Linked DNA regions of Mus musculus: regions 2, 3, 4, 5, 6 and 7 are each reported to be linked to region 1. The links are microRNA targets in miRTarBase. Many come from high-throughput screens and were not tested one by one. Region 1 holds a microRNA gene; each other region holds the end of a gene's coding sequence.

What was found. Region 1 holds the annotated microRNA mmu-miR-9-5p (UCUUUGGUUAUCUAGCUGUAUGA, at 2,129-2,151, opposite strand). A microRNA usually pairs through its seed, bases 2 to 8, with sites in the 3' UTR of a target mRNA and lowers its output. Matches are read on the target gene's strand: a 7mer-m8 pairs with bases 2 to 8, a 7mer-A1 pairs with bases 2 to 7 and ends in A, and an 8mer does both.
Region 2: miRTarBase lists Senp8 as a target of mmu-miR-9-5p. Seed matches in the 3' UTR shown: 7mer-A1 at 3,595-3,601.
Region 3: the mRNA of Fam76a is a reported target of mmu-miR-9-5p. Seed matches in the 3' UTR shown: 7mer-A1 at 1,876-1,882.
Region 4: the mRNA of Nup50 is a reported target of mmu-miR-9-5p. Seed matches in the 3' UTR shown: 7mer-A1 at 2,279-2,285.
Region 5: miRTarBase lists Npc1 as a target of mmu-miR-9-5p. Seed matches in the 3' UTR shown: 7mer-A1 at 1,568-1,574.
Region 6: miRTarBase lists Guk1 as a target of mmu-miR-9-5p. Seed matches in the 3' UTR shown: 7mer-A1 at 868-874.
Region 7: miRTarBase lists Tbc1d22a as a target of mmu-miR-9-5p. Seed matches in the 3' UTR shown: 8mer at 3,790-3,797.

Annotation. Positions count from the first base shown.
Region 1 is chr3:88,213,313-88,217,763 of GRCm38, reverse strand. It overlaps Mir9-1 (microRNA 9-1), which reads right to left and starts at 2,166; the gene lies at 2,078-2,166. The region is part of intron 2 of Gm3764 (predicted gene 3764); the gene reads right to left. It overlaps Mir3093 (microRNA 3093), which reads right to left and starts at 2,593; the gene lies at 2,507-2,593. Gm25641 (predicted gene, 25641) reads left to right here and starts at 2,094; the gene lies at 2,094-2,151.
Region 2 is chr9:59,733,255-59,737,705 of GRCm38, forward strand. Senp8 (SUMO/sentrin specific peptidase 8) reads right to left here. Exons shown (of 2, transcript NM_027838.3): 2 at 1,005-4,451. The coding sequence ends at 3,913. Among named protein-coding and RNA genes, the nearest start is that of Senp8, 15 kb to the right of the region's middle.
Region 3 is chr4:132,897,245-132,901,695 of GRCm38, reverse strand. Fam76a (family with sequence similarity 76, member A) reads left to right here. Exons shown (of 9, transcript NM_145553.2): 9 at 388-2,483. The coding sequence ends at 474. Among named protein-coding and RNA genes, the nearest start is that of Stx12, 15 kb to the right of the region's middle.
Region 4 is chr15:84,939,310-84,943,760 of GRCm38, forward strand. Nup50 (nucleoporin 50) reads left to right here. Exons shown (of 8, transcript NM_016714.2): 8 at 337-3,654. The coding sequence ends at 539. Among named protein-coding and RNA genes, the nearest start is that of Mir1249, 10 kb to the right of the region's middle.
Region 5 is chr18:12,187,215-12,191,665 of GRCm38, reverse strand. It overlaps Npc1 (NPC intracellular cholesterol transporter 1), which reads left to right. Exons shown (of 25, transcript NM_008720.2): 25 at 664-1,972. The coding sequence ends at 746. Rmc1 (regulator of MON1-CCZ1) reads right to left here. Exons shown (of 20, transcript NM_029623.2): 15 at 3,338-3,457; 16 at 3,029-3,106; 17 at 2,742-2,846; 18 at 2,585-2,653; 19 at 2,281-2,506; 20 at 1,692-1,860. The coding sequence ends at 1,781. Among named protein-coding and RNA genes, the nearest start is that of Rmc1, 21 kb to the right of the region's middle.
Region 6 is chr11:59,180,391-59,184,841 of GRCm38, reverse strand. Guk1 (guanylate kinase 1) reads left to right here. Exons shown (of 8, transcript NM_008193.3): 7 at 321-406; 8 at 655-987. The coding sequence ends at 690. It overlaps Gjc2 (gap junction protein, gamma 2), which reads left to right and starts at 2,016. Exons shown (of 2, transcript NM_175452.4): 1 at 2,016-2,096.
Region 7 is chr15:86,496,446-86,500,896 of GRCm38, reverse strand. It overlaps Tbc1d22a (TBC1 domain family, member 22a), which reads right to left. Exons shown (of 13, transcript NM_145476.2): 13 at 2,394-4,084. The coding sequence ends at 3,956. Among named protein-coding and RNA genes, the nearest start is that of Gm34965, 110 kb to the left of the region's middle.

The sequences.
Region 1 (4,451 bases):
GCATCTAAAGAAGACATGAACCCTTAGCAGCCTAACCTCCTAGCCTCTATTCCTCCTTTTCCTAAAGCCTTCTACTCTCTTTTGAAGAGCCTGTGATCCAATGTGCTCATGGGAAACAATAATATAAAACTACTGTGGTTAGCAACTGAGACTCTAAGTGTTCCTGGGAATATGTGGTGTGTGTGTGTGTGTGTGTGTGTGTGTGTGTGTGTGTGTGTGTGTGTGTTTAGGGGGACTCTAGGATGCCCAAGAACTTGCTGTGTAGACAAGGATGACTTTGAATTCTTGATCCTTCGTCCTCTACTTTGCAACTGCTCAGATTATAGGCCTGTGCTATGATAGAGGGCTGTGTAGCCCTGGCTGTCCTGGAATTTACAGTGAAGACACTATACAGGAAACATTAAAGATGGTAATGATAAGGAAGCTTATTTTATTGATGCCCCTCCTCTGCCCATGCAAATTCCCAATAACAGAGAGGCTTCCCTTCTTTCTACTTTCCCAGTTGGCTCCCTTGGGGTGGGGAGTGTCACTTTCTCCAAGACAGAGTAAATGGAAGGAGCTTTGAGTGTCAAGCCAGTGAGTAATGTCAGCTGCTCACTTGTGCCTGTGTAACATGGGATCACATGGCATCTCTCAAGCAGCGGAAAAAGAAAACAGGCTGTGGCCAGACCATTAGTTCCAGCCTAGACCCAGCCTCTTTTCTCCTTGACTTAAGCTTCATCCCCACCACCCCTACCAAAACAAAACAAATTCCAAGCTTCTGGAATTTAAGAGGCCACTCGACTCTCCCTCCCCTAACTGCTAAAGAAGACACACACAGGCAATAGATTCCCTGAAGTCCCAGAATTTGAATTTGGATTCTCTAATATTTCCCCCCATGTAATACAAAATTGAATCATTATCTTCTAACTGTAAAATCAGGTCCCGGGAGGAAATTTTAAATTTATAAGAACCAGCGGAGTCTGGGTGATGACATTTTGCCCAGTTTTCTGCCTCTTATTAGTCGGTACAGCCCAGGTCTCCAAGTGCCAGCTGGTCAAGTTCGGCTGAGGGCCATGAGAGCAGAGGGGATTCCTAGCTCTGGCCATGTTTGTTAGACCATCTTCTCAGCTGTAGAAACCCTCTTTCACTAAAATATTTAGGTCAGGCAAGATAAATAGATTCTTTTTACAGGAGCCCAAATTAATCTCTCTAATTCTTTGCGTTCTCTGGGCAGCACAGCTACACATTCCTTTGTGTTTGAGCTCCACAGAGCTCCTTGAGGCCATTTGTTCCTTTGGGACACGATTTCCAAGAGTGAGGTTAGGACCGAAAGGTGGGATGCTCTAAAGCCCCCCACCCCAACTCTACACCTTTAGCCACTAATGACAAAGCAGCCAGAGAGAGTTCAGTTAGACTTAGCTCTGGTCCTGAAGGCCAAAGTGAAAGCAAAGAACCTGCGCCCCAGGGTCCCAGAATTCCTGTGGGGTAAAAAGGTCTCTGGCCACTCTGGCCCTTGCCCTTGTGGTTACTTTGTTTCTGCATCGCCATTCTCCCTAATAAGTTCGATGTGTGTGTTGGTTTTTAAGCCTTCCCCGCTCCTAGACCTGTTCCCACCTGGGCAATCTTGACTCCCAGTAAAGCTGAAGGGCTTCAGGGAAACCACCAAAGCAAAAACCAGCTTTCTAGAGACATCCTACGAACCTCGAACTCCACCAGTCGCTTCGAAGAGCCAGAGGGAAGCTGCTCACACCAGCCACCCGCTCCCGGGATGCGTCGAGACCGGGAGAGGGATGCTTGCACTTTCCCCCCAACCCTTCAGCCAAGGGCTCTGTCTCTCCCGGGAGCGGCTTCTCCGGACTGAGGCCCAGACTGCTCCATTTTGACCAGGCCTCCAGAGGCGACCCCAGAGCGGCTTCTTGCTTTCTTCCCAGGTGAGCAGGTTGCGGGTGGGGATCGCGAGGTGGCTCGGGCTGAGCAACCTTTGAAGGCGACGAGTCCCCCTCCCCCCAGCCCTCCAGCCTCCAGGCACGCCTGGCACGGCTCTCCCTCCTGCAGCTCGGCCACTACCAGCGTTCCAGGCCCTCTGCGCAGTGTATGGGGTTATTTTTACTTTCGGTTATCTAGCTTTATGAAGACTCCACACCACTCATACAGCTAGATAACCAAAGATAACAACCAACCCCGCCTCCTGGCCGCCTCCTCCTCTTCCACGCAGCCTCCCGGCCACCGCCTGGACCTCCGTAGTCTCGAGTCGCTCGACGGCGGATGGGGGACGCGCGTGGTGTGGAGGCGAAAAGATGGGATCCAGGACCTCACGCACTATCACGACGAGACCTCAGAAAGGCGAGGAAAAGATGCTACCGCCGACGGTTCTGAGGTCGGGAATCTAGGCTGAAACCAAGCGGCCCCAAGCCTGACCGCCCATTTCCCACTCCCTCCTCCGTGCAGAAGCAGGGTTCCGCCGGTGCTAGTGGAAAGGCTCCAGGGCCTTCGTGCCATCCGGGAAGACCGCAGAAGCCTAGGCCGAGGCCTCCCCAACCTCCCACGGTGTCCACACCCTTCTCTGGAAGGTCGAGTGTGAGCTCCGCGGGGTGCGGCAGAGCCGAGCTCGCAGAGCTGCTCCGAGCTACCGACTGCAGGGGAGCGGCCGCGAAGCCCCGGACGGGAACCCCAGCACTGGGGAACCCCGAGGCCCAGAGGGAAGCCTGTGGCTGGCGGCGGGGTGGAGGGTGATCTAGAGACTCCCCAGCGACTCTCCCAAGGGCAAAGACCCCACCCAGAGAGAATCGGGCGAGCAGTCAGGACGTGGGGCTGCGGGTTAGGGCAAAGGGTGACCAGGCAGGTGCTCCGAGCCCTGGACCTACGGAACCGCGCGGGAGCCGGTTTTGTGCAAAACGCAGCCGAAATCATTCAGAGATGTGAAATATGCCACTGGGGGTCTGAGTGAGAGATGCCCTTAGTGGCTGGAGGGGGCTATCTGGACTGAACCCACTGGAAGGAGGTCCAGGGACCGTGCAGAGGGTGTAGAGCTCCGTGGTCGCAGGTGGCGGACGCGCGCGCTGGACTCTGAGGCGCTTTCCCCACCTCGTGCCCCACGCGGGTCAGGCCACTTACATCAAACCCAGGATGCCCAGTGGTAGTGTCCTGCGCGGTCTTCAGGCGCGTTCCTACCCAGGCAGCGCCACGGACGTGGGTCAAGGATGCCGGGGCTTGCCAGGTAATGGGGCCGAGCGAGAGCCAGCAGGGTGGAGCAGGGTCTCGAGTCCCAGCTCTCTCCTCAGCCTTGGCCGCTGCTCTGGCGGGGGCGCTCTCAGGCTCCGGACTTTTCATTCATCCCTTCACACTCCTTCCTCAGGTCAGCCCCTGATTGGCTATACCTGGTCTGACGTCACTGTCTCGTTTCTTCCCCCCCTCCCCCCCAGCCTTTCCATGCCCGACCCCCTCCCTCCCCAGGCCAGTCCAAGACGTGCAATTGGGGTGCCCCTCCCCCAGAGAATGGGATCCAATGTCTTTATGCCAATCCTTAGTCTTTTGCTGCCTCATCTACAACCCGCCTGCCACGTCTATAATCCATTGCCAATTGCGGTTCTGATGGCCACCTTCGCTCTTCTTGTCGATCTTACATTTTCCTTTTGGGCTCTACGGTACATTGCACCAAGACCAGCACGCAAAAATAGAAAATAAATAGGGCAAAATTCCCTCAAAGAGAAGAGATCTGTAATCTCAGCACCAGGAGGTTGAGGCAGGGATGCGGACTGGAGACTCTATCTCTGACCCCCTCCCACCTCACCCCACCGTTAGAGTCTTTTTGAGTTCTAATTCCTCCCAAACTGTGATCCTAATATTTAGGAGAGGCAAGGGTCTCTTTTGTTCAAGGTTTTCAACTCAAACCCTCACTGAAGGGAAGACTGTGCAGTTTGAGTCTCCTGCTATGAGACAATGGGCGAGCAAAGGGGGCCCTCTTTTCTGCATTTCAGGGGAATGTTCCTTGACCCTATCTGCAGATAACCACAGAATCCTAGCTGCTTTTGAGACTCAGAATTTGGCCAAGTCCTGGAGACCTTTAATAGGTCTTTCCCTCTACCCATGTTCCTCCAGGCTCCCAGGCATGCAGTGCCAGCTCTGGGTTCGGTTCCCCAAGGAAGATGCCTTTCAGGCAAAGCTCTGTCCCCGTCCTCAACTTCCTCCACCTGGCTCTCAATCCAGTCCAGCCAGAAAGGTCCTTTTCTCCACCAAAGAAGCAGAAGCAGAAAAGCACCGGGGAGTAGCCAGTTGCTGTTGGGCAACATCTGGGTTCTAGGTACATCGAAATTCTCAGAGCAACCATGGGCCCCAGGAGCTGCTCTGTGTGCCAGTGAGCGGTCCCTTCATCCTCCTACTTATCCTCTGCTGGGTCCCTTCTATAAAACTGGCTGAGATGCCTAAATCCTGCTGGTCAGATTAAACCAGCCAGTTCCTGTAACCAGGGA
Region 2 (4,451 bases), not on the chromosome of region 1:
GCTGGCAGGGAGAGAAGAGCCTGGGTCAGAACTGCTTCAGAAATCTTGTCTGAGCTTGCCCAGCGGGGAAAGGGCTGCCGTACACAGGGACTACCAGGTACTGGTATGTGAAGAGAAGAGAGCTGCCCTTCTCTTGTCTTTTAATGCAAACTGCAGGACTTAAGAGTAATTTTGTTTTCTAGCATAAAAATGTACCCCTATTTTGGGCGCTGAAGACAGCTGCCATGTCCTTTGACACACAGACACGTGTTGTCTCTTGCTCAAGAACGTTTTTATTTGACTTATACAAATATTTTGTCTTTATATATTTATGTGTACCTCACGTATGCCTGGTGCCAGCAGAATTCAGAGTGTCAAATCCTTGGAACTGGAGTTACCACTGGCTGTGAGCCACCACGTATGAGGATGCTGGGTATCAAACCTGGGTCTCTGCAAGAAGAGTAAGCGCTTTCAACCACTGAGCCATCTCTCTAGCCGCAAGAACACTCTAAGTACATTTAACACTTCATTTTCCTTAGAGGAAACTCAGTCTCATGTTGGAACTTGGGGGCTAGTTTTCCTTATGTTGTGGAGAATTGCTTTATCTTTGCTTAGTACTGATTTTTTGACATATTCCTAAAGCCCCCCTCCCATTTTTAATAGCTTATCCAGATGTCTGCTCTTGTTTTATTCTCCATCTTTCATATGTAAGAATATGAAAGGCCATTTAAAATAGGAAGTGCACTGTAGGGCTTTTTCCAGAACATTAGATCAGTACATTGACATCAGGAGTTGGTCCAAAGATGACCTAATGTATAAAACAAAGCCAGTGACTCTTCAGGTTCTGCTGTTAACAGTTACACGGCAGTTATTGCTGCTTTCTGCAGTGAGCCAACAGAACATGTTCAATTCAGAAAGGAAAGCAAGACTGCACTAGAAAATGTTCAAGCAAGGACTATTCAGCATTGCTTTCTGGGATCAAGGAAGGAAGAGATGCGAAGGATATGAGGAGACAGAGACCACACAATTGACATTGCATTTATTTATTATAAAATAGGAATAAGACCACTTGGAAAAATATAAGAATAAATGAAATTAGCCAGGAGTGGTGGCATATACCTGTAATCTTATTCCTCCAGAGCTGGAGGTCTGAGGATCAGAAGTGACTACATATCAAGTTGTAGGCCAGCCTGGGCCATGAGAGACTGTCTCAATTCCTCTACCATTGAAAAAAACCAACAATAAAAATGGCTATAAATGCATAAAACCTTTATAATGTTATCTAGTACTTTAAATTATAGCAACACATGGACATATATTTTTAAGGGTATCTAAAGTATTTAACTGCACAACACAGAATGGTCCATGACCTGAGTTCCAGGGCTACACAGAGAAACCCTTTTTCAACAAAATAAAACAACAACAACAGCAACAAAAACAAAAAACCACCACCACCACCAACAAAATAACCCAAACCAAACCAAACCCACAAAGTCAAAAAATAAAAAATAGGGCTGAAGGTATAGCCCTGAGGTAGAGAATACACATATATATTACTCCCAGCTAATGTTGGGTTTATATATGTAACTTCTCAATTCCATATTGAGACCCAGGTTAGACATATTCAAATATACTTGTGGGGCAGCACAATTGGATATTTGAAATAAAATATATTAATATTATTATCAATGTATTTATATTATTAGTATAGTATTATGAGTATTACATTAATGGTGTATGGTTAAGCAGGTATATACCTTATGGACTATCCTAGTATCTAGTGAAATACTACGTGTAAGCTCAAAATCTGTTATTTACAAAGTCAAGATTTTCAAATTATCTACTCAAGATTCTCTTACACTTATTTATATATATTGTGAGTAGTTACAAGTATGCCAAGGTGTACATTGGGAGACAGGACAACTTACAAGGAGCCAATCCAATTCTCTCATCTTACTAAGTAGGACCTGGGGGTCAAATCAGGGTTGGTGGTAAGTGTGTTAATCCTCTGAGCTGTCTCACAAAGCCTACTCAACAAAAGACTAACTTAAAGTTTGATTACAAACATGTTATGTATTTGGAAAAAGATTGTATATTTTTATGTTTTTAAATAAAGACAATAGTTTAGTTAAAAAATAATTCTGGGACAAACCTTAGGGAATTAGACAAGACTGCTCTCGCATGTATTAGCTATTAAAGGGGAGACAGGCTGATGTTTAAGTAAACAAGCATACTGTGTATTACCCGAAAGATAACCTTCCCCTGAGAGGGCAGACTCTCCGAAGGTCTAGATCAGCTGCCTAAGTAAACAGTCACTGAAATGACACTGCTTGCTGCCTTTATCTCCACTGGTGGCCTATCAGAACCTGTGTCCCTACGCTTGCTCTCCCTGTCCTGTCTCTTTCATTTATGGCTCACTGCCAATTTCTAACATTTTCCTGCCTATCTTTCATTAAGTCTTTTGGTTTGAAATGGGCTCACTTGAAATGGAATCCCCTCTCTCCCATTTTTTTTTTTTCCTTTTTTAAACTTGTTTCAGATCCCATACACTGAAGCCTGCTTATGCAGCCTGTGCTTTTACACTTTTACCATCTTCCTCTTCCTGGCTCCAGGGAACTGAGTACCTCTGTAGTTGCTGACTGGAGAGGTTATTTTGGGTTATGAACGCTGGGGTCAGGGTTAGAGTGGAGAAGTAGCTGAAGTCAGTTTCAGTGAGTGAATCACATCTTTGTGTTTTACATCCCATATACACTGCAAATTGTTATCGGGGTCTAATTATTATGTGTGCCCAACTTCTTGTGTTAATTACTTGAAACAAGTAGAAAAATTTATCAATAGCTTTGTGGGGAGTAGTATTTCATTTTAGTCTTGTTTCCATATTTTAAAGTTATACCATTTACTTTTTGGATTAAGTTTGAGGAAGGTGACATTTTTTTTCCTTTATATTTAAAAAATAAACTGCTCCTATGTTTTAGATCATTAATAGTATGGAGATTACCACAACATACCTGAAAACAACTCTGCTAGATTAGTGTAAAAGCTCTATCTACCAAAAGTAGAACATGTCTGAAATAACAGCTAATCTTGGCTGGTTATCCTGTGAGCTTGAGAACTACAGCACGTTAGGTAAAGGGAGGGACTAAATCCATGTAAAGGACAAGACAAAGTCACCATCACTTAGAGCTGAGTCACCCACTCACTCAGGGAAACCAGAGATGCACCACACACCCGCAGGTGGTTTTGTTTTGTTTTTATTTACTGCAATTTGGAATTGAGTTCAAGTCTTCCTGCACACCACAGCAGGTGCTCTTCCTCAAAGTTATGCTCCCAGTCTATAGCCATTTATTTTAATGACGTTCCATGTTCTTAAAGCATTCCAGGAAATAGATAAAGATGAGCTAAAGTCATCTTTATTAAGTATTTGCAGACGGGAAAGCCTTTGCACCCGAGAATGCCTTATTTTTATAAACCGAAGGCTATAAGTGGAGTTAGGTAATGATCCACCTCCAGTCGGACGCCTCACTATGGCTGTGAAACAAAGATGTTGGTTCTTCTGCTGTTTTCTTCATGCATGTCTTTAGACTTCATGTTATTGGTTTGCTTTGGAACATCACTTCTTTGGAATAAGCCAACAAGGAAGGGAGACCAAAAGGGATAATAGTTTTATACCAACAAGAAAAGAAGGCTCTTACTTGAAACTGTGTAATGAGAGGTTTGTTACTAAAGTTTTGGTACGTAAGTTCAAGACATTTCCACAGAATGTACCGCTTTCCTCAGGATTACAGTGAAACTTCCCATTCAGAGAACACAGAGGATGACATTCTTACAGAACAATAAAGAAGCAGGAATTGTAAACTTTCATCTACTAGTGGTTTTCCCTCAGGCACTGAGGCTGTCACCATAGAGAAAGGCAGAAAGACCAGACTTCAAACATCACGAGCATTCTTCAGTAGCTACTTCGTTTTTTTTAGCAAGTCTGGCAATTAGATCTTTCCATTCTCCTCTCTTCTTTGTGATGTATGTCGGGGTGAGTAGCTGCAGCGGGGACTCTGGCTGCCGTCTAAAGAGACTCTGACACAAGGCCTCGGTGTTACATATCACGTACATCCCACAGTCATAGCTGTTCTCTTGAGCTGGGGCTTTCTCTTCCACAAAGACCAGTTTGTCTCCTTTGCTGCCTAAGAAAGCCTTCAGTTTCTCTGCTACCTGCTTTGCATGGATTGAGTTGCTCCTGCTATGGGAATCATAATGAAAGAAGCTATTTTTATCTTGGAGATAAACCAACAAACTCCAGTGGGTACCTCCGGCTGCCTGGTTAGAATTATCATTGATGGCTAAAAATACCACTCTTTTGTGGGGAAGATCCAGGGGTTCAAGGAACATGGCAATTTCTGCAGGGCTGCTGGTGCACTTAATGAACTGGGTGACTTCAGGGCTGATGAAACAGACATGGTCTGAGCAGTCATGAAACT
Region 3 (4,451 bases), not on the chromosome of region 1:
GCACCTCTGTCAGGTCCTTTTTAACTCCGTGTCAAGTCCCAGAATTTCCTGTTCTCTTCCTAGGACCACTTCCTGCCTCTTGAGTTCCCTCTTTCTACCTGCACAGACAGCTGGCTGGCTGGCTTTCTTTCTTTCTTTTATTGTTTATTTGTTTGTTTGTTTAAGACACAGTTTCTCTGTGTACCCTGGCTGTCCTAGAACTCAAGACTAAGCTAGTTTCAGACAAGATCCGCCTGCCTCTGCCTCCCAAGTGCTGGGATTAAAGGTGTGCACCACCCCCACCCAGTTACCGTTGTTACTATGACTCATTAAACCTATTCTGCATTAAAACCACATTCTATGCTGTGGAAACTGAGTGTGTACTGACTTTATTTTTATTATTTTTAGGCCAAAAACCGAGAGCTTCTGAAACAGGCAGCTGCCTTGTCCAAGAGCAAGAAGTCTGAGAAGTCAGGCACCATAACGTCTCCGTGAAGACGTGAGGAGGCTCCCAGCACCAAGCCCGTGCTCCCGGGTCAGGGCTGCTGAGCTGGCTGGTCTCTGGGAAGTGTGCTTCCTACAAAATCTCTATATTTTCTTACCTTACCCTCTTTGTTCGGATGCAGTGGGCTGAAAGGAACTCCTGGTCTGTGCCCTGTTATGGCTGCATGCTGAGCGGTTAGGGTCCCAGACCTCCTCCTTTCCTCCTCCCACTCCCCGCCCCCGTGGCCCCCCCCTCTCTGTTTTAGTACTCTGTTTTCCATAGTGGTCACTGCTCAGTGTCACGTGCAGAGTGTCTGTCCACCATCACACCTGCCATCCCCGTGAGCAAGCAGTCTGTCGTCAGCTGTACATCACTGCCGCTCCCAACCTCGAAAACTGCCACCTGGAGACTCTGTGCAGTGAGGGAGGCTTTTTCTCACCAATAAACCTTTTGCTTCAGGGTATACTCTTGGGTTTTTTCCAGGTATATTATGTATGACCTTTGTACAATGTATAGACAGAGTTTTATTTATTTTTTAAAAAGGAAACCTTTTCTTGATAAAGGAATGATGGTAGCCTAGCTAGTTCTTGTAAAAGTGATGCCTCTTTGAAAAAAGAAAAAAAAACAAAAAACAAACCCAGTCCCGTTTGCTAGCTTTTAGTAGAAGAACGCAACCTTTTCTTTCTCATTGCCTTAGAGTCTTGATGCTGAGGTAATGTTGGAGGCGTACGTGTGGAGCTAAGTGCCTTTTGGAGGACCCCATGGAAGAGCGTGTGAGGAGAGGCTTAAGGACGGTTGCTGAGTATGGCCAGTCTGTCTTTAAGTAGGGCAGAAAGATGCTTGTCCAGGTTGTACTGGACACTTCCTCCTCTACCCACCCCTCCTCCTCCTTCTACATAATTTTAAATTCCCACACTGCCACTTCTTTTTTAAAAGTATTCCTGTTTCTTGCTACATCAGCTGTCGTACCACGTTGTTATCACAACCTGGATCTTTGGTTTTGTTTTTTAACTTGAGCAGATTCAAGCGGGATAAGACGTGAACTACTGAGCATTTCCGAGGGTTGGCATGGGTTGCTTGGGTGTGGGCTGCACGGTGGGGAGGACCTCACTGTTCCTTCCTTTCTCTCCCTCATCCCGCGTGCTCCCTGTTCTTAATGGAAAGTCAGAAAGCACGCGCTTCTGGGAGCCGAAGGGTGTGCCCTTATCCCTGTCTGACTCAGTAGTTGTGGGAAGGAGCTGCGCCCCTCCATCTTTGGGAAAGGAACTAGAGATGGGGAGTATGTGCTGGGACACAGAGCAAACCCTGCAGTGAGTGCCAGCGGTGCTGGAGCTAGAGCGGATCCTGAAGGCAGTGACATTGGGACAGTCAGGGTCACTGTTCACCTGCTCTGTAGTCTGGGATTACGTTCTCCAAAGAGTCACATGCACACAGGTGAGCAGCGGTCCGCACTCGAGTGGCTCTTCCCGACAGGAGATTCGAAGGACTGTGTTTTTGTAACACTGGTCGGGAGTGCAATTTTCCCTTCTAAGCAGGGAAAGCTGCTGTGCTAAATCATTTTGTAACTTTCCGAATGAGAGACTTCGGTAAAGATAAACTCGTTCAGTATTTTTCAAATGCATTTGCATTGGCTGTGGGGAAAAGATGGTAGGAAAAGAATAACAGTCATGGTTTCGTCAATGAAAAGTAAGACTGAGAAATTGTTGGTGTGGTGTGACAATATACAAAGGCTTACTTAGTTTTATACTAAACCTTTTTTAAGGTCTTAGCATTTAATATTCAGCAAATCCACACATTTTCTAAACTACCACAAGCTCCTGAAAGATAGAGGAACCTCAGTCCTGAAATGGTGATTTTTTTTTTAAATCATGACAGCATTTTACCATGTAATTGAGTAACTTTTGGTAACACCTTCTGCTTCTTTGTATGTTTGTAATAATGGACATTTTAAAACATAGGAATGTTTGCTTTGTACAGACTTTGACAAATGTGTGTTAATAAAACTTCATACTGACTCAGATGCATGTTGTGATTCAGTTGCTGGGTTGCTTCCCCCCTCCTCTCCCTCCCTGCCTCCCCGTCTTCTTTTCCTCTGTGCTGGGGTGGAACCCAGGCCCTTACGAGGTCAGCAAATTGAACTGCTGAGCTGCCCCTGGCCCACGTGTTTGTTCTTGTTGATTCTCCTAGTGATATATCCTCCTGTGTCCTGCCACCCTAAAAATAGTTTAGCCTGTTTTAGATTACTAGGGAATTGAATAGTAACAGAGGGATCTAGTTGCTGTTCCTATAAGACAAATGACCCCAAAATTTAATGACTTAAAACAACAATTTTATATGTCACTTGACCCTGTTGGATAATCTCAACAGGACAAGGACAAGAGTTGTTTTTTTTTTTCTTTTTTTTTTTTTTTAGATTTATTTATTGGTTATATGTAAGTACACTGTAGCTGTCTTCAGACACTCCAGAAGAGGGAGTCAGATCTCGTTATGGATGGTTGTGAGCCACCATGTGGTTGGTGGGATTTGAACTCCGGACCTTCGGAAGAGCAGTCAGGTGCTCTTACTCACTGAGCCATCTCACCAGCCCCAAGAGTTGGTTTGTAAGCCGGGTGTGGTAGCACAAGCCTTTAATCCCAGCACTTGGGAGGCAGAGGCAGGTGGATTTCTGAGTTTGAAGCCAGCCTGGTCTACAGATTGAATTCCAGGACAGCCAGGGCTACACAGAGAAACCCTGTCTCGGGGGGAAAAAAAAAAAAGAGTTGGTTTCTGTTTCGTCTCTAGTTGTGAGCTGTATCAGATGAATCAGCCAGGAAGATTGAAAGTTCACAGGGCTGGGGTTGGCCCTCTGCTCGTGTAGCTGCACTTGCGCTGGGTGAAGAGAAAGTGGAACAGAGCTGGCTCAGGTAGCCTTCCCCGGGCATGGGGACCTCAAGTTAAGCAGACTTAGGCCGCACCTGAAGACGCCAAGCAGCAGTGTTACAGCCAATGAGACCCGAGCTCTGTCCATCCCACCGACACTCCTGAGGCCACATGTCCTCATGGCTGCTGTACACCTGTTGTTTAAGCAGTTAGAAACCCACTCAGACTCAAGGAGAGGACACGGATCGTGCCCCTTGATAGCTTAATGACAAAGTCCATGTGTGATGGGAGCCATTCTGACCATCATGAAGTAGGATCTACTACATGAGATCGCTTCGGGAACTAAAACTAAAAGGTCCAAAAGAGCAAGGCAGCAGCTGCAGTGTGTTCTGTGTCGTGCCTCAGGACAAGACCGTTTCCTAGTTCCTCCAATATCCTATTGATTGCAGAGGCAAAATTACCACTGCTATTCAGCACGTGTTCCCAGGAGCAAGAATCACAGGTTGAGGCTGGAGGGATGTTCAGTGGTTAAGAGCACTAGCTATTCTTCCAGAGGACCCAGGTTTAGTTCCCGACACCCGTGTGGTAGTTCATGGTTAGCTGTTAGTCTAGTTCCAGGGGAATCTGACCACCTCATCTGGCCTCTGAGGGCACTTAGGCATGCATGTGGTGCAGAAATATACATGGAAGCAAAATAGCCATGCACAAAATGAAATAATTCAAAACAAAACAAAACTGAATCCTGCTCTTTTGGAGGACCTGGTCTCAGTTCCCAGTTGCAGTATTTAGCCAAGTGTCTGAAACAGCAGTTGTGGGTGATCTGACACCCTCTTCTGACTTCTGCAGGCTTCTGTCCATACATGTATACATATGTACACACACATAATATTAATATCAGCTGGCTCCCACACTGATCTTGGCTTGTAGGGTTAAGTTCTAAAGTTGGTTAGCATTTTTCAGAAGTAGCTCATATACGTCTTTTTTTTTTTTTTAAGATTTTATTTATTTATTATATGTAAGTACACTGTTGCTGTCTTCAGACACTCCAGAAGAGTGAGTCAGATTTCGTTATGGATGGTTGTGAGCCACCATGTGGTTGGTGGGATTTGAACTCCAGACCTTCGGAAGA
Region 4 (4,451 bases), not on the chromosome of region 1:
AGTCCCATGAAATGGTGAGGATTTGGGTCCAAACGGTACCAGTACCAGCGAGTCCTCTTTGCATGCAGTTCTGAGGTTGTAAGCGCCTGAAGCTGGAGTGTGTGGAGAAGGGAGGAAGGAAGCACCCCGCCATTGGTGCCTGTCAAGCCCCTGCTCCCCTCAGCCTGCCACACTCCCGAACACAAGAGCGGGAGGCCTTTATGGCGGTACCTTTAGCACAGTAAGAAGTCGCTTCAGGATTGACTCCTAGCCTCTTACGGAATCCTACAGCTTTGATAGATAGTTTCTCTAGTTATTTTTATGTCCTGATGAATATCTCCCTTTGCTTACTCAAAGGCAACATACTGCTGAATGTTCTGATCGCCCCCAACATGCCGTGCACCCGGACAGGAAAGAACAACGTCCTTATCGTCTGTGTCCCCAACCCCCCACTCGATGAGAAGCAGCCCACTCTCCCGGCCACCATGCTGATCCGGGTGAAGACGAGCGAGGATGCCGATGAATTGCACAAGATTTTACTGGAGAAAAAGGATGCCTGAGCACTGAGGCTGACCAAGGCATGTTGCCACGTTGCTGCTTCCCCTCCGTCCCTAACTTAGTCACATTCTTTCCTCTTCTACTGTGACATTCTGAGAACTTCTAGGTAACTTGAACTTTTGTGAGGAAGATTAAGGCCAATAAATCCTTTCAGTGTGTCGAAGCTCTTCTCCCTTCCTAAGAACTAAGCAAAATACATTGGAGTGAAAAGTGTGGGAAGATGGTTTTTAATGTTGATTCATTGAGTAAACTAACCTAAGTGATTCTTAATGGACTATAATCAGGGTACCAGTTAGCTCTCCAAAGGCTCCCTCAGGCAGCAGTGGTGCCGCTCTCTGCCTTCCCCAGGAGACCCAGTGTTCCTGAAGACACCGCCCGTTTCCTTCCTGTGGGCTTGTCTGACCATGACTAGCACTCCTGCCAGACAGCACACCGCCACACTGTGACCGACCGCGCTTGCCCATTCCTTCTGAGCTGACTGGGTACTGGGAATCTGTCGTCAGCCTGTCTCGGCTGGTGCTGGCCTTTGACCTGGAGCTGCTTGACTGAACCAGGAACCGCCTTTCCATGGGAAAGACCATGAGTGGTGGCTCGTGGGGAGCTGGCGGTGGACAGACTGGGTCTGGAGTTTATCCATGAGGTGCTCTTACTAGCTTTCCTCCCTAGTTAGCATGGACGGGGGCTGTCAGGAATAATGGATTTTATTAAAAGCACAAATTTGGTAGTGTTTTTATATCATTTCTATACCACAAATAAGCCTTTATTTTAAAAGAAAAAAGTGAAATCGTGCTGAAAAGGGTTGTGTGCTCATGGCCGTTTGTGCCCTGCTGAGCCCTGGTGGGCACAGTCTGAATGGAGTTCTCTCACGAGCCGTGTGCTCATGAGAAGCAAGAGTATGGGAGTGGAAGACGGCTCATTTGGCCCGTAGCTTCAGACAGCAGCATATTATTTGGCGTCTGAAGAAAACATTTTTATCTTTACTTTTTTAAGGATGAGGTATTATTGAGTATGTCCATTTGGAAGAGAGCCATGGTTCTACACGCTGGTCATGTTACCTCAGAGCGGTGAGGTTGCTAATACTAGTATTCTCTGAAGACCAGACATGGGTTAAATTCGAGATTTGATGACGAGCTGGTCATGGTTCCTGTCTAATCCCGGTGCTGGAAAAGCTGAGGCAGGAAGATCATTTGAGTTCACAGCAGCTTGAGCTACTGTAAGACACCTCCCCCACCCCCAATAAAATCAAATAGAATAGAAAGTTTGACTCTTTAAAAGTCCACTTGCATTTCTCATAAAACCATTTGACACTAGGACCAGATCTTGTCTGAAGGCTCAGGGTCAGTACCCAGGGGCGCACACTTGTGTGATCAGGTTCCGACAAAAGCTGGGTGGCACAGTTGCTTTCTTAAAGCTGCCGTGCTAGGTGGGATGAAACCTGGTTAACTTTTATTTTCACATGGGTCTTAGTCTCACTATGTAACCCTGGCTAGCCTTGAACTCAGATCCACCTGCCTCTGCCTCCTGAGCCCAGAGATGTTCTTGAGGTGGGGTGACAGTGCTCTGTGCATTTTGGCACGTATCTGCAGATGCATGTTTGTGCTTCTTGGGCTGTGGACCTAAGGAGATGCTGTGCGGTTTGGTTTGGTTTTGCCTTGTAGCATGGAGAATTGGTTCCTAGCAAGCAGGTTGCTGCTTCTGTTGGCCCTGGCCCTGGCTTCTTCACATTGGGCTTCCCAGCTTTCCAAAGATGAAACAAGGGGTGTGCATTTCAGAACAGTACTGTGTAGCCACGTGCCTGTGGGGCTGACACGTGTCAAACTCACAGGCACTTTCAGGAACTTGTCTCTTCATGGTGGCAGTGCTCTGTGAGCATCTGCCCATGCCTTGAATATTTACCAAAAGAATAAAAGCAAAAAAGATCATGACTGGACTGCCTTCTAGAGCTCCCCGGCCAATTTCAGTTGTAAATTAGTGAGGGTGGCTTGCTTTTTTTTCTAACATTCCAGCAATTTGCTGCTAAAGACTATCACTTTTGGAAACAAGAATTACAGGGGAGATGTGTGGGGTGTGACTGTAACTCGGTGTCTTGTCTTTATGCTTTAGGAGCTAGCTCATTGCATCTGACCTGAGTATGGGAATCACTATGAAGTCTGAGTGTCACAGGGAGGCCCCCGGAGGGCACTCTGTTCTTCTTCCACTGTGTGTGTAGCTGGTTCCAACCCATGGCTTAAACTTCATTTATGGTTTAACGTGTTAGAAACTTGCATCTTGTCTGTTTAATGTGAACTGAGGTGTGTATCTCCAGTTTGAAAATCTCACGTTGTGTCTTACATTTGCCTGAAGGAAGTGTGTGTTCTCTGTGGTCAGGGTGCATCTGGCAGATGCTAAGCCTGGGCCTTCCCACACTATAGCTCACACTATGACACATTCCCAGCCCTGCCATGTCCTCCTCAGAGAGCCACACTGTACAGGCTGTGTCTGTGTCAGTGACAGGTCCGACTGTTGGTGGGCTGATGCTCTGTTTTACCATTTCAGTTCTGAATCCTGTTTTTTTACATGCTGTGTGCCAAAAACCAAAACAAACCAACAACAACAACAAAAAAAATACCTCCTATGGCATAGAGGGGAATTCACCTTGCTGTCAGGGAAAGCCGTTTCCCTACCTTTTGAACATTACGAAGTCTGTTCTTGCCAGTTTCTTCATTATGTTACTATCTCTGAAGATGAGAAACAGCCCCTTGAGGCTGCAGAGTACCCACTTAGACCACTGGAGTGGGATTTTAAGGAGATGGCCTGCTCTGTCACTTGTAGGTGAGGTTGGGAGTTCTTCAGGGCGTCTTTCTAGCCACATGCTCTGTACACAGCCACCAAGTGCTCTCCAGAAGCAATCACAAGCCTGAGGACTGTCCCTTAACACAGATTTGTAAAAGTGACGTCAGACTTCGTAGCCAGCACATGGAGTGATCCGCCTTCTACTCGGAACGGGAACTTGTTTTCTCCAGCTAAAATACTTGAATTGTCAGGCAGTGTAATCTCAGTGTGTGTTAGCTTTTGAATGAGCCTTTAAGGAAGTGTAACAATCCATGAAATGTGAATAAATGGAAAGTTGAAAAACCAGCGTTGGGTACTGTTCTGTTCTGTGATATTCTTGGCAGATCAGTGGGGAAAGCAGCACACAGTAGTGTGCACAGACGGATCTGAAGTGGGGGCTGACCAGCTGACTGGGATGTAGGGTGAGCAGCTTGAAGCTTGGCCCGGGCCTGCCTGCACTGGATTACAGTCGGCTGCAGAGCCAGAGCCCTGTTCTAGGCAGGCAGTCCTCCAGCCTCAGACAAATTCCAGCTGGGAGAGGTTAGCTTTCTTCTTCAGAAGTAAGTTATTCATACTAGATTCTTGTTCATTCCGTGATGTACTTACTGGAGTTGTGTTCAGATTCTAAAGTTTCCTAAGAGACACTGCATTATCTGAGTTATAAGGTGTTTTCCTGGTTAGGGGAAAAAAGCTAAAAGGCTGTCCCCGGGGTTCCGAACTGTGAGATTCATAAGTTATAGGTGCTTGCTGAAGAGCAAGATTGTCCCTGAGCCATTAGGGAGACAGACTGATCTGGTGTGGACCCCCAGTGTAACCCTGGAGCTTCCAGTGCCAGAGGTTCATAGAAATTAGAGCTGACAGCTTTTGGGGACCCCGCCCTAAGCCCACTCAGGTCAAGGCCAGTCTTTGATACAGTGGTTTTTGTATAATCACACTACTACTAGTCATTGTATGTGAACGGATGACGCGCTGCACAGCTGTGATCAGCCAGCACTGGCTGGCAGACTCCCTCCCTGTAACTCCCAGATAGAGCCATGACTCCATGCCCGTTAGCACATCCTAGGAGGAGATGGCAGTGACCACCAGCATTCCCAGGAACTATG
Region 5 (4,451 bases), not on the chromosome of region 1:
TCTCACGGGCGTGGGAGGAACGACATTTACTTAACAGGGCATGGTGTCACAAGCCTGAAATCCCAGGGAGTGGAAGCAGGATGGATCCAAAGTTCAAGGTCATTAACAGTGAGTTTAACCTAAGCTAAAAGACCCTGGCTCAAAGAAAAATTTAAACTTGGACTTTCTAAAGTATTTGAGTTTGTACTGACAGCTAGCTCATACTGCATTAAAACCATAGAAGGAAACAGTAAAACCTCCCCCAGGGCGTCTCGGTTGGCCAGGGCATTTCCTTAGGCATCCTGGAGGCCAGGGCTCACTCCACCTCATACAGTGACGCCCAGTTGAAAAGGTAACAGGATGAGTCTGCCTCACAGCTTTGTTACTAAGTCACTGGAGAGACAGCTCATCGGTTAAGAAAGACACTAGCTGCTCTTCCAGAGGACCCAAGTTCAGTCCCCAGCACCCCCATGGCAGCTCACAACTATAACTCCAGTCAGGGAATCTGACAGCCTCTTCTGGCCTCTGGAGCGCTGCATAGATGCTGTACCATGCAGCATCTTCTGGCTAGGCATGCATGCAGACAAAACACCCACACACAAAAATAAAATAGAAAAAAGCAACAAGAGCATGGCTGGTTTCCATGCCTAGGAGGTTACTTACGCCTTCTCTTGTCTCACACAGGGCCGTCGGTGAATAAAGCTAAAAGACACACCACTTACGAGCGCTACAGAGGGACAGAGAGAGAACGGCTCCTCAATTTTTAGCCTTGTAGCAGGCTTTGGTGACTGTGTTTATGGATAGGTCAAGTTTACTGCAAGACAGCTGCGCTGTCAAGACTGAGCTGGCTTCAGGCTGTGTCCGAGCTGTGTCACATGCAGCTCTACCCACGCTTTTAAACTCAGGAATGCACACCTAACTTGTGAAGCAGTATTAATGGATCTGAAAGCAACAATCGCCAGCCCCTACTGTCGTACCAGTAGAAACCTCATCTTGGGTACAAGGAAGGATAGTTCTGTCACTTTAACTTGTTTCAATGCCTACTTTTAATGGAGGTTATTAAACACTTTAACCTCCCTTCTAGCCCACCACCAACCAGAGATAGTGGGAAAGAAAGGATACAGGGGAAGTGGACCTGTTTAGAAATGGTTCTTTGGAGCAGATCCTGTCTGCATTATCAGGAAACCAGCAATTCAGTTCACGGGTCAGCAGTGGCAGCTCGACCCACTCGCAAACACTTCACGGATACACCAGCAGTGTTGGGATAGGAGCAGCCAGGCCTCAGCAGGAGGGACCAGGGCCGACAGGAACACCAGAGGTTCTTGGCTGTTCCTCTATCAGCGAAGACTGGAGACCAACAAACATTACACAGCTAGCTCTATATTCTCTCTGTGGAGTCCCAACACATGGAGCTCAACTACACAATATAAGGCAGACCAACCAATACATGCCTGTCATTCACGTGTCCTTTCATGTGCTTGCTTTAGGGAAACAGTCCTTCACAAGTCTGCCTTTCACCTGTGTCTGCTTCAGCAAAATGTTCTTTCACATTTGCCCCAGCAAAACCCCATCTAACACAACTGACTTTCCAAAGAACCCTTAAGTTTCCATTTCCCAGTGGCAATAACTGTGACCTGATCCCTACCCCACATGCTGTCTCCTTTTCTTTGGGAGTTAGCAACATTTGAGGATGTTGTAGGTACTTTATTACATTTTTTTGTAGTTTAAAGAGCTTTATTAATGCAATAAATTAACTTTGTACATTTTTATATTAAAAAAAAAAAAAGACTATTAAGGGACTTCAGAATGTTGTAGGCCTCATTAGAGCTTGTTCTCCAAAAACCTGCTTGAAAAAGGCAACGTGTTCTTCACAGTGCTCTCCTGTAAGGACAACGCGGCTCAGTCAGCAGCTGGTTATGGCCCGGGAAGACAGGATGCAGACAACGCTCATGGGTTTTAACTTATTTTTCTTTAATAAAATACCTCCTCCTCCATTTTGAGGTCTTTTATTGCAGAGCTCACACCTTCAGCAGCCAGAGCATCCCTGACCTGTCTGTCACTCATACCGTCTGTGCTGTGTGTGTATACACAGCATAGGCTCATTCTCTCGAGTCCTGTCTTATCACTACTTGCTTAAAACTGAAGCATTCAAAGCCCAAGCCATTTCAAATGCTTCTCCACCATGTGCACTCCTGTTCTGATTCTATAGAGAGATCCCAAAGTCAGATATAAGCTATGCCCTTCAGCCCTGAACTTGATGAAAGCTGCCATTGTCTGTGGCCACCCTGGGCATTCCCTTACCTGGTGTGAAGTTAGGGTTCCCTCGCAGGCGCTGGTTCCGCTGTTCAAAGAAGCGGAATATGGTATAGAAGAGCATGACATCGTCGGTCTGCCTCGCAGCATCTAAGAATTTGCGAGCAGAAATGTTGTCATGGCCACCAATGCCCCGGATGAACCTCAGGGCAGCCAACACCTGGTGTTTAGACAGAAGAACTTCTACTATCTCATCATTTGCTGTTGAAAGTCTCTGGAAGTAAGAAGGAGAGGTAAGGGCAACCACGGGAAGGAATGCTGGGGATACCTGAAGCCGTGGCAGGGCAGTTACCTTCAACATGTCCAGAGATAGCTGGTGGGCGGGAGGATAAAAGCTCTCTAGGGACAGCAGCAAGCAAGCCTGAAAGACAGGGTTTCCGCTAGCTTCAGTTTGAAGGGTCCCACTGGAAGGTTTAGTGACTACAAAATGGGCATCCAGTGGTACAGACCAAAGGCTTGGAGTCGCTGAGCACGTGGTACTGCAGGAACTGGTGCAGCATGTAGAAGAGGTTATGCTGGACCAGTGTCTTGATGACAAGTTCATGTAAGTAGTGCTGGGGACACAGGAGGAAGTAAATTATATCGCTGAGTCACTGGACCATGGCTGGCCACACCCGTTCCCACTGAGAACCAAATGTCATGGTTAAGGCACCTGGGGTCTGCAGATTCTTTAGCCATCTCTTCTGATCTCATTCCTCTCTCTAACTTAAGATGGCAAATACCCCTCTGAAAGTACCTGCACTGGAATCTGAAACTGGTTCAGAGAACGAATATATTCCATCAGCACAGCTATCACAAACTTGTGCGGCATCTCCTAGGGAGGAAGAAGGGGGTCTTGTAATGTCAGTTGCAAAAGGAGCTACAGGCAGCCCACTGATCCCCAGTAAAGTCCAGTGTTCTGGCTACTGGTGTTAGACAAATCCTTATGAACTAGACGCCAACCACACAGCCCCAGATCCTCTCCCAGGGCAATACCGCTCACTTAACCATAGTGTGGATCCTGTTGCTCCCCACAGTAGCCCACGCAGGGACCCCACTTACATACCTTGTTTTCCACGAATGGTGACAGCACCTGTGTGTACACATCAGACTGGTCTACCACTGCTTGGGTTCGCACTGGCCTTTTGAGAGGTGGGTTGCTCCGGCTCTGCCCTGCTTCTACTGCCTAAAGTGGAACAACTTGTGACCTTGGTCATCTTCCACAGACATGGTACTCACTACAGTTAACCCAAGACTTAAATTTCTAGACACAAGCCAGACACGTGACAAGCGAGACAAAACTCTTCCCATGGCAGACCTGTGCTCTGGCAAACACTCCAGGGTTTGTGGGAGACCTCAAGTAAATAACCAAGCCAGTCACGCTCTTTCCAACCTCTGAAGACGTATAACTGACCTCAGCTTTTCTCACTCTTGACCAGCTGCACTGTCGTTCATGAAGCTACCAGACAGTAAAGGAGCGCAGCGTGCACTGGATCCATGTTGGCATTTTAAAATTCATTTTTGTAGCCTTTGAAATGGATCCAGGGCCTCACCAATCTCTACATTCCGACCATCAAGTCACAGCCTCTGGTCAGTGTAATGGGAATTATTTGACAGTAAGCCAGAGTTCCCCAAAGATGACAGAGCTGTGAGCTACACCAGCTGTGTGATCTCTAAAGAGCAGGCACAGCTTCAGTGCGGACAGCCTGACCATGACATCAGTCTGACAAAGCCCAGGGTCTGCCACTGGGCTCAAACCCGCTGACTCCACAGCCCAGGACACCACCAGAAGGACCAAGAGGAGGAAGGAGACAGAACAAGGACAGAGGTGATGTAAGCAGCCTGGCCTTCAGTGGCCCATCAGACTAACTTCAAAGAGCCAAGCAAAGTGGGTTCTCAGCTTGTTTAAAACGATGTCCACTGTTGCTAAGCATATCCTTGAAGTAATTTCTCCCACTGATCCCAAGTTTATTTCTCGCTTTAGAAAAACAGAAATGCTAAGTTCTGAAACTAGTAAGCCACAGTAATTTTCCATCCCTGTCATTGAACACATGCTGTCTATTAACTGAAATGCACGGTGCTGGTGCTGAGCCAATGGCTCCCAGGACACTTATGGTAGCAGTATCCAAGGATAGCTAGCTTTGTTTCTACTCTTAGGATAAACCGTGTTGCCCTGTCGA
Region 6 (4,451 bases), not on the chromosome of region 1:
CTGAGCTTGGTCCACATTCAGACACTGTCATTGAGACCGTTTGCTGTTTCCTTATGTGGCAGTCCATCCCAGGCAGAGCTGGTTCTGAGAGGCCTGGGCAGGGGCAGTGGTCCACACTCCAGAAGTCAGGACTTGATGGGAGCAGCCCCCAGCTGAGGTTCTCTAGAAGAGGGGAAGCAAGAGTACTGTCCAGCCCTGGCCATCCTACCACAGTGACGGCAACAGTAGCCATAGCCAGATAGCAGGTTGTTAACAGTGGGGCAAGCCCAGCAGGGGCCGAAGTCCCAGTGTTCCTGAATCTGTCTCTTGCCTCACCCCAGGCAAGGAGCCTGGCTTGTTTGACCTGGTGATCATCAATGACGACCTGGATAAAGCCTATGCAACCCTGAAGCAGGCGCTCTCTGAGGTAGGCCCTTCCCATCTACCCTGTCTTGGGGAAGTCCCCTGCACAAGCCATCCTGTGAACGCAGCAAACCCTGTGTTGCCGGGGCTCACACCCTGCTGTGTTGTAAGCAGCCCTGGCTTTGCCAGTTGCCAGAATGGTCAAGTACAGGTGCAAAGCCGGAGTCCCTGGGAACCCAGGGAGGATATGAGCCCTAGCCCTCCCTGGTTCCCTGCCTCTCCTGACTTTCTGTTTCCCTTCTTCCTTGGCAGGAAATCAAGAAAGCACAGGGAACTGGCCACGCCTGAAGGCCTGCTTCATTCCACAGAGTGATGTCTGTGGTCTAAATTTGCCTGGAGGTGGGGGAAACTTTGCCAGGGCACCAAGGACTTGTAGTAGACTTCCACTGTGGAGTAGAAGGAGCTACCCTTTGTCTGACCACAAGGTGGCTCTGCACCGTGGGCTGACTCACTGGCTGAATGACTCCAAAGAGTACCCATATCTAATCTCCCTGGACTATTTGTGTTCCTTTCCTTGTTCCTTCTGCTGGAGCGGGACTGACCTCTTAATAAAGTAATTACTGAATTATAGTGTCACAGCCCTCCATACTGGGCTTATGGCCTCTGGCTTTCTGCCCCTCCATGGTCAGCCCAGATGAAGGCTGCTAAGGGGGCTCTGCATAGGTGTCTAGTGGCCCTTGTCCCTGCCCGCATCCAGGGTCCACTAGTCATCAGAATGCTGGCTAGGGTTGCTCGTGTTCACTTCTTCCCCTGGGAGTCAGGCAACTGGGACAATCAGTATGGGCTGGAATCGTCTCAGCCCTAGACAACCTAGTGCTGCTGTCTCTTTGAGGTATTTCTGAGCCATTTGGGGACTCAGAGGGACAGATACCACTTGCCAGGAACAAAAGTGCCCAGCTGCAGGGGAAGAGCTAAGGTCATAATGCTGGCCCTGGAGCTGTGGGTGCTGTGTGTTCTTGGCCTTGGGTATAGGCAGCCAACCCAAGGAAGGGCAGGTGAGCCCTGTGAGGGCTGCAGGCAGGCAGAGTCCTGGGCCTTCTGTAAAGATCGCAAATTTTGAGCTCTAGAGGTTGTAGCAGGGTGCAGCATTCCTGAGGGAGATGTCCCTCCCCTCCTGTCCACGATGAGACATTCTGAGTGTCTGGTCCTGCTGTCCTCCCTCTTCCTCTGGGCTCCCAGCCCAGGCTGCTGGCTCCGCCCAAGAGAGCAATCCCAGCAGGGAGGGCAGTGGTTGTTGCCAGCTACCCCCACCCGGTGGTCAGCCACAGCTCTGCCTTGTGCATCTCCAGGTGAGGCTGCTCCTGGGGCAGACTTGGGGGTATTAACTGGATGTGGGTGTGAAGAGGGCAGGCAGGTACCCAGGCAGAAGTAGCCAGAGAGACTGGGAAGTCCTGGGCTGCCTCCAAAACTGCAGATGTTTCTCTAGAAGGGTGAGCCAGAACTGCCTGGACTTCAAGTGGAGGCTGGGGAGACCAGCAGGCCTGTCTAGATCCCTGCTGCTCCACCCCCAGGGACAATCATGGATTCAGACCCTAGGGGGAACAATGGAGCCCTTGAGGGCCCCTCCTCCATCCCCCATTGTGCTTGGTGGCGAGAGGTGGCCCTAGCCCCACAGTATGCCCTTAGAGAGGATCAGCATCCAGCCGGCAGGTGGAGGGGCTCAGCCGAAGGTTTGCATTTCCAGCCTGGAGAAGGTAGGGAGGGTACTGCTGGGGCTGCAGCCTGGCTGGGCCTTGACTGGTCTGTACTCCTTACTGCTAAGGTGGAGGTTCCCAGGTTCCTGCATCCCCTCTCAGGCTCTGTGGGGTGTGTCACAGCTGGTGCCAGATGCCACCCTGGAAGACTCACTGAGTCTCTGGCCAGATCTTGTCTTGCTGTATTAAGGGACCCTCAGGGTGTCCTTTAGCTTGGCTTCAGCTGGCTTTGTGGCTCTTTTGGGGTAACTAAACCCATGGTAGAGGGAGATGGGAACAAACCGGAGAGCCTAGGGTATTTTCAGTACCTCCCCCAGCAGCTGAGACCCTTCAGGCCATCTTAAGATGGGCCAGTCCACCCCAGCCAGTTGTAGTGTGTCCCAGGGATCAGTATGGGCACCAGGCCCAGTCTACTCAAACTGAAGAAACTTCATTATCCACTTGCCTGCTACCAAGCAGACCCTCTCAGCAGCTGGACCTACACAACCGCTGCTGTGTTAGTGTGGCGCGGTAGCCAGCACAGAAGTCTTTGGGATGCCACAGCAGTTCACTCTAAGTGCTTCCTTCCCACCTACCTTCTGTGTCTAGGGACTGCAGAGAGGGAGATATGAGGATGGGCAGCCAAAAGGGGAGATACAGGGTCCAAGGACGGGGAGGTTGGAGAAGATCCGTTTTGGAGGGCCTGCTGGCTGGAGTTGGCTCTGTATGGGACAGTGTGGACCCAGCTGGGAAGTGATTTCTAGAAATGGGGAGGGGAACCTGGCTCAGCTGTGGAGGGGCTGGCAGGACTGGAGAGACAAGGACCAGGGTGAGTATGGGCTTTCTACAAGGAATTGGGCACACGTGTGTACTCTGGGCAATGCCAAAGGAAGGCATGGAGAGTGGGAGGGGGTTGCCTACTCAGGCTAGTGCCTCCGTTTTTGGAATGCAGTTTAGCTGAAGTCTCAACCTGTAGGAGTTGTCTAGACTTAGGGTTGTGACTCTTACACCAGGTAGGTGCAGGCTAGCCCATCTGTTTTTCTGGTCCCCACAGTCTGAAGTTGAAGTTTTGCCTTCTTGAACTTCCAGGAATGTGACTTGGGTGCTGGTGAAGAAGGCCTCACAGGTCAAAGCGGGAGGTTGGTAGTTTCTGCTGGGTGCCATAACTCTGTGGTAGAGTCCTACATCTTCAACATGTTTAAATTTACAACAGAGGAGATAACAGTACAGAAAAGATCCCAGAGGACCTCATTTCCCATTCCATACTGGCATGAAACACATCACCATAATAAACTCTAGTGCTGCCTCTGTTAGTGAAAAGCCGCAGTCTGTGTGTTTCCTACATTCCCTTGCCCCTCCTGATACCACAGCACCTCTTAGTCTCCTTGTTTTAGCTGCCCATGGCTACTAAAATACTACTCGGGTATTTTTCAGGGTGCCCTCTTGGAAACTGGCCTGTGTTTTCTCTTGCTTTGTTGGGGTTATGGGTTTCAGAAAGAATACTATGGGGGTGATGAGCCTGTCTATATAGGTGCTATCAACAGCCATAATGGTGAATCATAGGGCTCAGGTGTCACGGCAAAGGTACAAGTCCCCATTTCATGCTGTCCTCTGATATGTTGCTTCCCACATGTGGCTGCTGGAGTGGGTGTGTGCTCCTCTTAACTGTGTGTCCCATCTCAGAGTTCCTCTGCACAGAGATGGGATGGTTCTCCAGTCATCAGCCTGGTTATTCATGGGTGCAGTTGTTATCTGGGGTATCTGTAACCAAAGCTGCAGTCTGTGATTCTACTTTCCTTAGTCTACTGGTTAAATTGTTACAGTGTCAGTGTAAGCAATCCACCTATCAGTGTGTGTGAGTATGTAAGCACGTTCTTCCTCTCTGAGCTTTCTCCACACTCTTGTTTCCCTCCTTAGCCTTCTGATCAGCCACTTCCCCCAGGGATTCGCAGTTCCTTTTATTGAAAGAGAAGTTGGAAACCAGAACCCAGGACCTAGATAGGGTCTTTGTTTTGTGAGCGGGGCTTGAGAAAGGGTCTCAATGACATCAGACTCGCCGTGCAGCAGAGGATGACCTTGAAATTCCAATCTCCCTATCTCTGTCTCCCAAGCACTAGAACTACAGGCAGCGTGAACATACCCATGTCACAAATGCTCGCACTTCTCACGTGTTTCCACAGCCAGGGCCTTTCAGAGGACACAGCCAGAGATCATACACACACCACAGGTTTCCACGGTGTATCTGTAAATGACCTCTGTGAGAGTCCGGGTCCGCCTCTACCATGCTAAACACAAATGCATTCTAGAGTCCCTAGCTTGAGATGGTGTCAGAAAATGAACTTTTATAGTGATTGGGAAGCATCTGATAGGCAGACT
Region 7 (4,451 bases), not on the chromosome of region 1:
GAATAGAAACCCTGACTAAGACAGGCATCTTTTGGTGTAGCCACACCTTCATCAATCCTTTTATCAATACTTTAGCTTTTAGGACAACAGATTTCCTACTTTCTTGTTATCTTTACTGCTGTCTTATGATGGACTTTGCTTTATTGCAACCATTGTAAATGGGGTAGTTCTCTTGAGTCCTGCCTCTGAGTTTGCTGCTGTCATAGCAAATGCTAGGACTTTAATTTGTTCACTAGTTGTAATTTCTCTCTTTTAGTAGAACCATGCCAACAGCAAACAGGAATGGGTTAATATCTTCTTTCTGACTCCTTTTTAAATTCTCTTCCTTATCACTTTGTCCAGGAAGGACTTCCAGTATTAGGCTGAGTACTTCCAGTGCTGTACTGAGTACCTCCAGTGCTGTACTGAGTTCCTCCAGTGGTGAGAACAGGCAGCCTTCCTTGTTTCATTCCAGGCCTTAAAAAGGGCTTCCGCTTTCTACTGTAAATTGTTGGGTGTGGGCTTCTTACACAGGGTCTTCACTCTGCAGAGGTGTAGTCCTCTATACTGTAAATAATTCCTCTATACTCAGTTTGCATACTTTTTTGTTTTTTGTTTCAAGACATGGCTCTGTGTAGCCCTGGCTGTCCTGGAACTCACAATATAGACCAGGTTGGTCTTGAACTCATAGAGATCCCACCTGCCTCTGTCCCCCGTCCCCGCTGGGATTAAAGGTGTGCATCTAGCTTGGATAATGTTTTGAATTATGAAAGACTATTGAATTTTCCAGCTGCTCTTCCTGCATGTAAAACATGATCACGTGGCTTTTTCATTCTGTTAATTAGGCATACCATATTTACTTAAGTTGAACCATCTTTGCACATGGAAAACAAATCCTACTTTGCCCTCATGGACTGTACTTCCATGTGTCGTGAATTCATGGAATTGTTAAGGATTTTCCTGAGTCCTTTGTCTTTTCCTTGTCCTTTCCTTGGCTTTTCTTCTAGGACCCAGTCCTTGTCTGGTTTTGGTACCAAGGAGACTGAATACTGGCCTGGTAAGTGGAGTTTGGAAGTGGTCCCTCCCCTTTGGGTTTTTTGAAGGGATGTGGTGTTAGCTCTTGAAATTCTCGGCAGAATCCAGCAGTAAACCACCTGGTCCCACATTTTTCCTCTGATGGGAGATGTTAAGCAATCTCAATCTGTCAGCGAAATGGACCTGAAGGGTCATTCATCTGTGTGCCTCCAAAGCTACCTGTTAAGCATCTTCCATGCCAGGGACTGAAGAGAGGGTCTGGAAGGACTCCAAGTGACATGGGGCAGATGTGTGTGGCTCAGCCCTGCTAGCTGAAGGTCATACCAGAGGAAAGAATGCCTGAGGTGAGAGAGGAGCAGGCCAATGCACAGAGAGAAGGGTAGGGAGGCTCCAGGAGGGGCCTGAATTCAGGCTTTCTGTTCCCACACTCTTGGATAGGGCATGCCCAGGACAACACATACCTGGAGGCCGTCTGGCTGCACTTGAGTTAGGGCCTATCTTCTTGCAGCTCATCTCCGTGCTCCCACATAGACTTGCATGAGTGCTCCCACATGAGCAAGTCATCCCAGGAAACCCTCCCCTCTCCAACACAGCTGGCCTCGCCATAGTGACTGCCCCATGGTGTCACTTCAGGCATTTCGCAACAGTAGAGCTAAGTAGGTAGGTTCTGTCTTGTGAATTCGGTGTCCTGGCTACCACCCAGGATAGGAGCTTGTCCAGGAACCCTGGGCCCCAGGAGCCCATCCCAGGCAGGGAAGTACTCAATTAAGGAAATGACAGCACGTGGCAGGTGTTCAACCAGGGTCATGACTCTTACACTGGGACCGAAGGTAGGGTGACATGCCCTGGGTTCCTGGGGGTATGGCAGAGGGGCCCAGATCCCAGCGCCAACTCAGTTTATGCTTTTTACAAAGGAAACTTGGAGTTGTCTCTTGTCCAGAGGCTGGCAGAAAGTTTGGAGGCCCTGACACTTATTCTTCTGGCTCCTGACAATACCAAGTCTGGACTTCAGAGGGTCAGAGCCAGGAAAGTGGCATGCCCGTGCCATGGGCACGTACTCTTCCTCTCCTGAGGTCCCAACCTTGTCAGCAAGGCCACAGCACTGCTGTGATCAAGACTAGGCCTAGAGCACAAGGCTCAGTGTTGGGACAGGGCCTAAGCCTTGAAGAGAAAGTGAGTCAAGACCATAGGGCTAACAAGGTGGATGGCTCAGTGTGTGTAGGAGCTTGCCACCAAGCCTAACATCTTGTGTTTGATCTCTGATACCTACATGATAGATGAGAATAGGCTTCGGCAAGTTGTATTCTCACTGCCACATTTGGACCATGGCACAGGTACCCCAGCCCCCATCATCAAATAAATGCAATAAAAAGACCACAGGCCATATGAAGCATCTTTATTTCGTGTTTCCAACACATCACATTCAAAGCACACATCCTGCCCGGCTCAGCTCATGGGCTCAGACACAGGACTGTCGCCAGCGTCTCGTACACCCAGTCAAGCATTTGCACACATAAAAATACATTCAGGGCTTAAGTTAACCTCATGGGTCCTTGTCATCTCATAAAAACACCATGGGGCAGATCGTTATGGGCCTACCCTTCTGGCTGAGGGGTGATCCGCACCATGGAAGGATCAGGGAAGATGGTGCTTCTCCAGAGCCACAGAGGTAGCTTTCCTTATAACTGGGTGCCTCTCACCCAGGACAGGCACTGGTCTGAGGGAGCATGTCCCTCTGCTGATCCAGGACATCGGATTGCCTGCACAGCACTCTGCTGATGTCACATCCCACCTGACCCAGGATCATCTGAACAGAAGCAGGCACACGTCTTCCCTATGTCTTCCCCACAGCCTCTGGGCAGAGTCCTAGTGCCTGGGCAGTGTTGCGCTGCTCCTAAAGAAGGGACAGGTCAGAGTGGGCTGCAGTGGGTAACTGAGGACAGGAGGCTGCTCTAGGAGTCTAGGCTCTTGTCCTACAGGTGGCCTGGTGGTCCTTGGGGATCCCACATCACAGAGGCCAGGCAGCCTGGTGGGGGCATCTGTGGGATATACATGTGAGAAGCCAGTCTGAGGGCCCTGGAGAAGGCCAGCAACGGGGCAAAGGCTCTAACCCAGTGGCTCTGGAAAGGGCAGTAGGGCATGAAGAGAGGCCAGCCCAGCAGCTCCTGGCTATTGCCATCTGGGTGGTGTTAGGAAGAAGCCCCCTACACATGGCTGGGACTTTAGAACCACTAATTTCTGCCCTGTTGCGGTCAAGTTTGGGCCCATGAGACAATCTCTGGAACCCTGACTGACAAAAACCCCTGCCCACCTGGGGGTTCCTTGACCCTTTTCCTCACCCGGACAGGGAACCAGTTAATTAAAAACAGAAAGTAAGGTGACCGTGAGAAGCCTCAGCCTGCCCTGGCCTCCTCTTGTTCCACAGTCTCCCAGGATCTAACTCCTGACCTAGCCCTGTTTAAACCAAGTCAACCTAAACATGGGGCCATTAAAGGCTCTGTGTGCAGAACTCCTAGCTCAGCCTAAGTCATGCTCGGCATTGTTTTCTGGACTTTATTCTTTCACTTGACAGAATAGATTTGTGCAATTGAGAGCAGGCTTGAGATGGCTGCCCACCTCTGCCTGGCACCCGTACGTACAGCAGGGCTCTCTGAGGGACTTCCTCTTGGCTGTCTGGACTGGGGGCTGTAGGGAGGGCATTTGGCAAGGCAGGGCCAGGGTGAGGGCACTCCTGGCCACACTGAGCTTCTGAAGCTAGGAGTCTCTCCTGGGCTCTCTTTGGTATCTCATCAAACTAGGCTGCCTATCCTGCCAGCCCTGGACCATGCTGGGTCCACTCTGCTAGGTCACACCAGGAAAGGACCAGTCCAGAGGCCAGCAACTGCCCAGGCAGAGAGGGGATGCTATCCCTAGGGTGAGGCCACTGCCATGGGCCCCAGGCTCACTTCTTGTAGTGATTGGGGGCGTCTGCGAAGGCAAACTTGAGGCGATAGGCCTCAGCCAGCAGCAGGCTGACATCCTGGTCATCCCAGCGGGCAGTAGGCAGGTTCTGGAGGAAGAGCAGCAACTCCTGTGGGGAGAGACAGATGGTTAGGGAGAGACCGGGCTGCAGGCCAGGTCCCAAATGCACACACCTGGGAGACCTACATCAGCAGCAGGGGGAAGGCATGGGCAGTGCCCTCAGCCGCTGCAGCCCCTCCTACTTGCTCGGCTCCAACCCCACTCAGCCAGATGCCAGCTTTTACAGGGTCTCATCTGCCATCCAGCTCAGTATCTGAGGAGCCACACAGTGGTCTTCCCCACGCTTCAGTTGGGACCCCTGTATCTAAACCCTCTAACCCTCCATGGAGATAGTATCAGTTGTCCCCACAGTCAGGAAGGATCCATGGGCCAGGCTACAGGAGATTTCTGAGAGCCAAAAGCCTCTCTGAGACCAG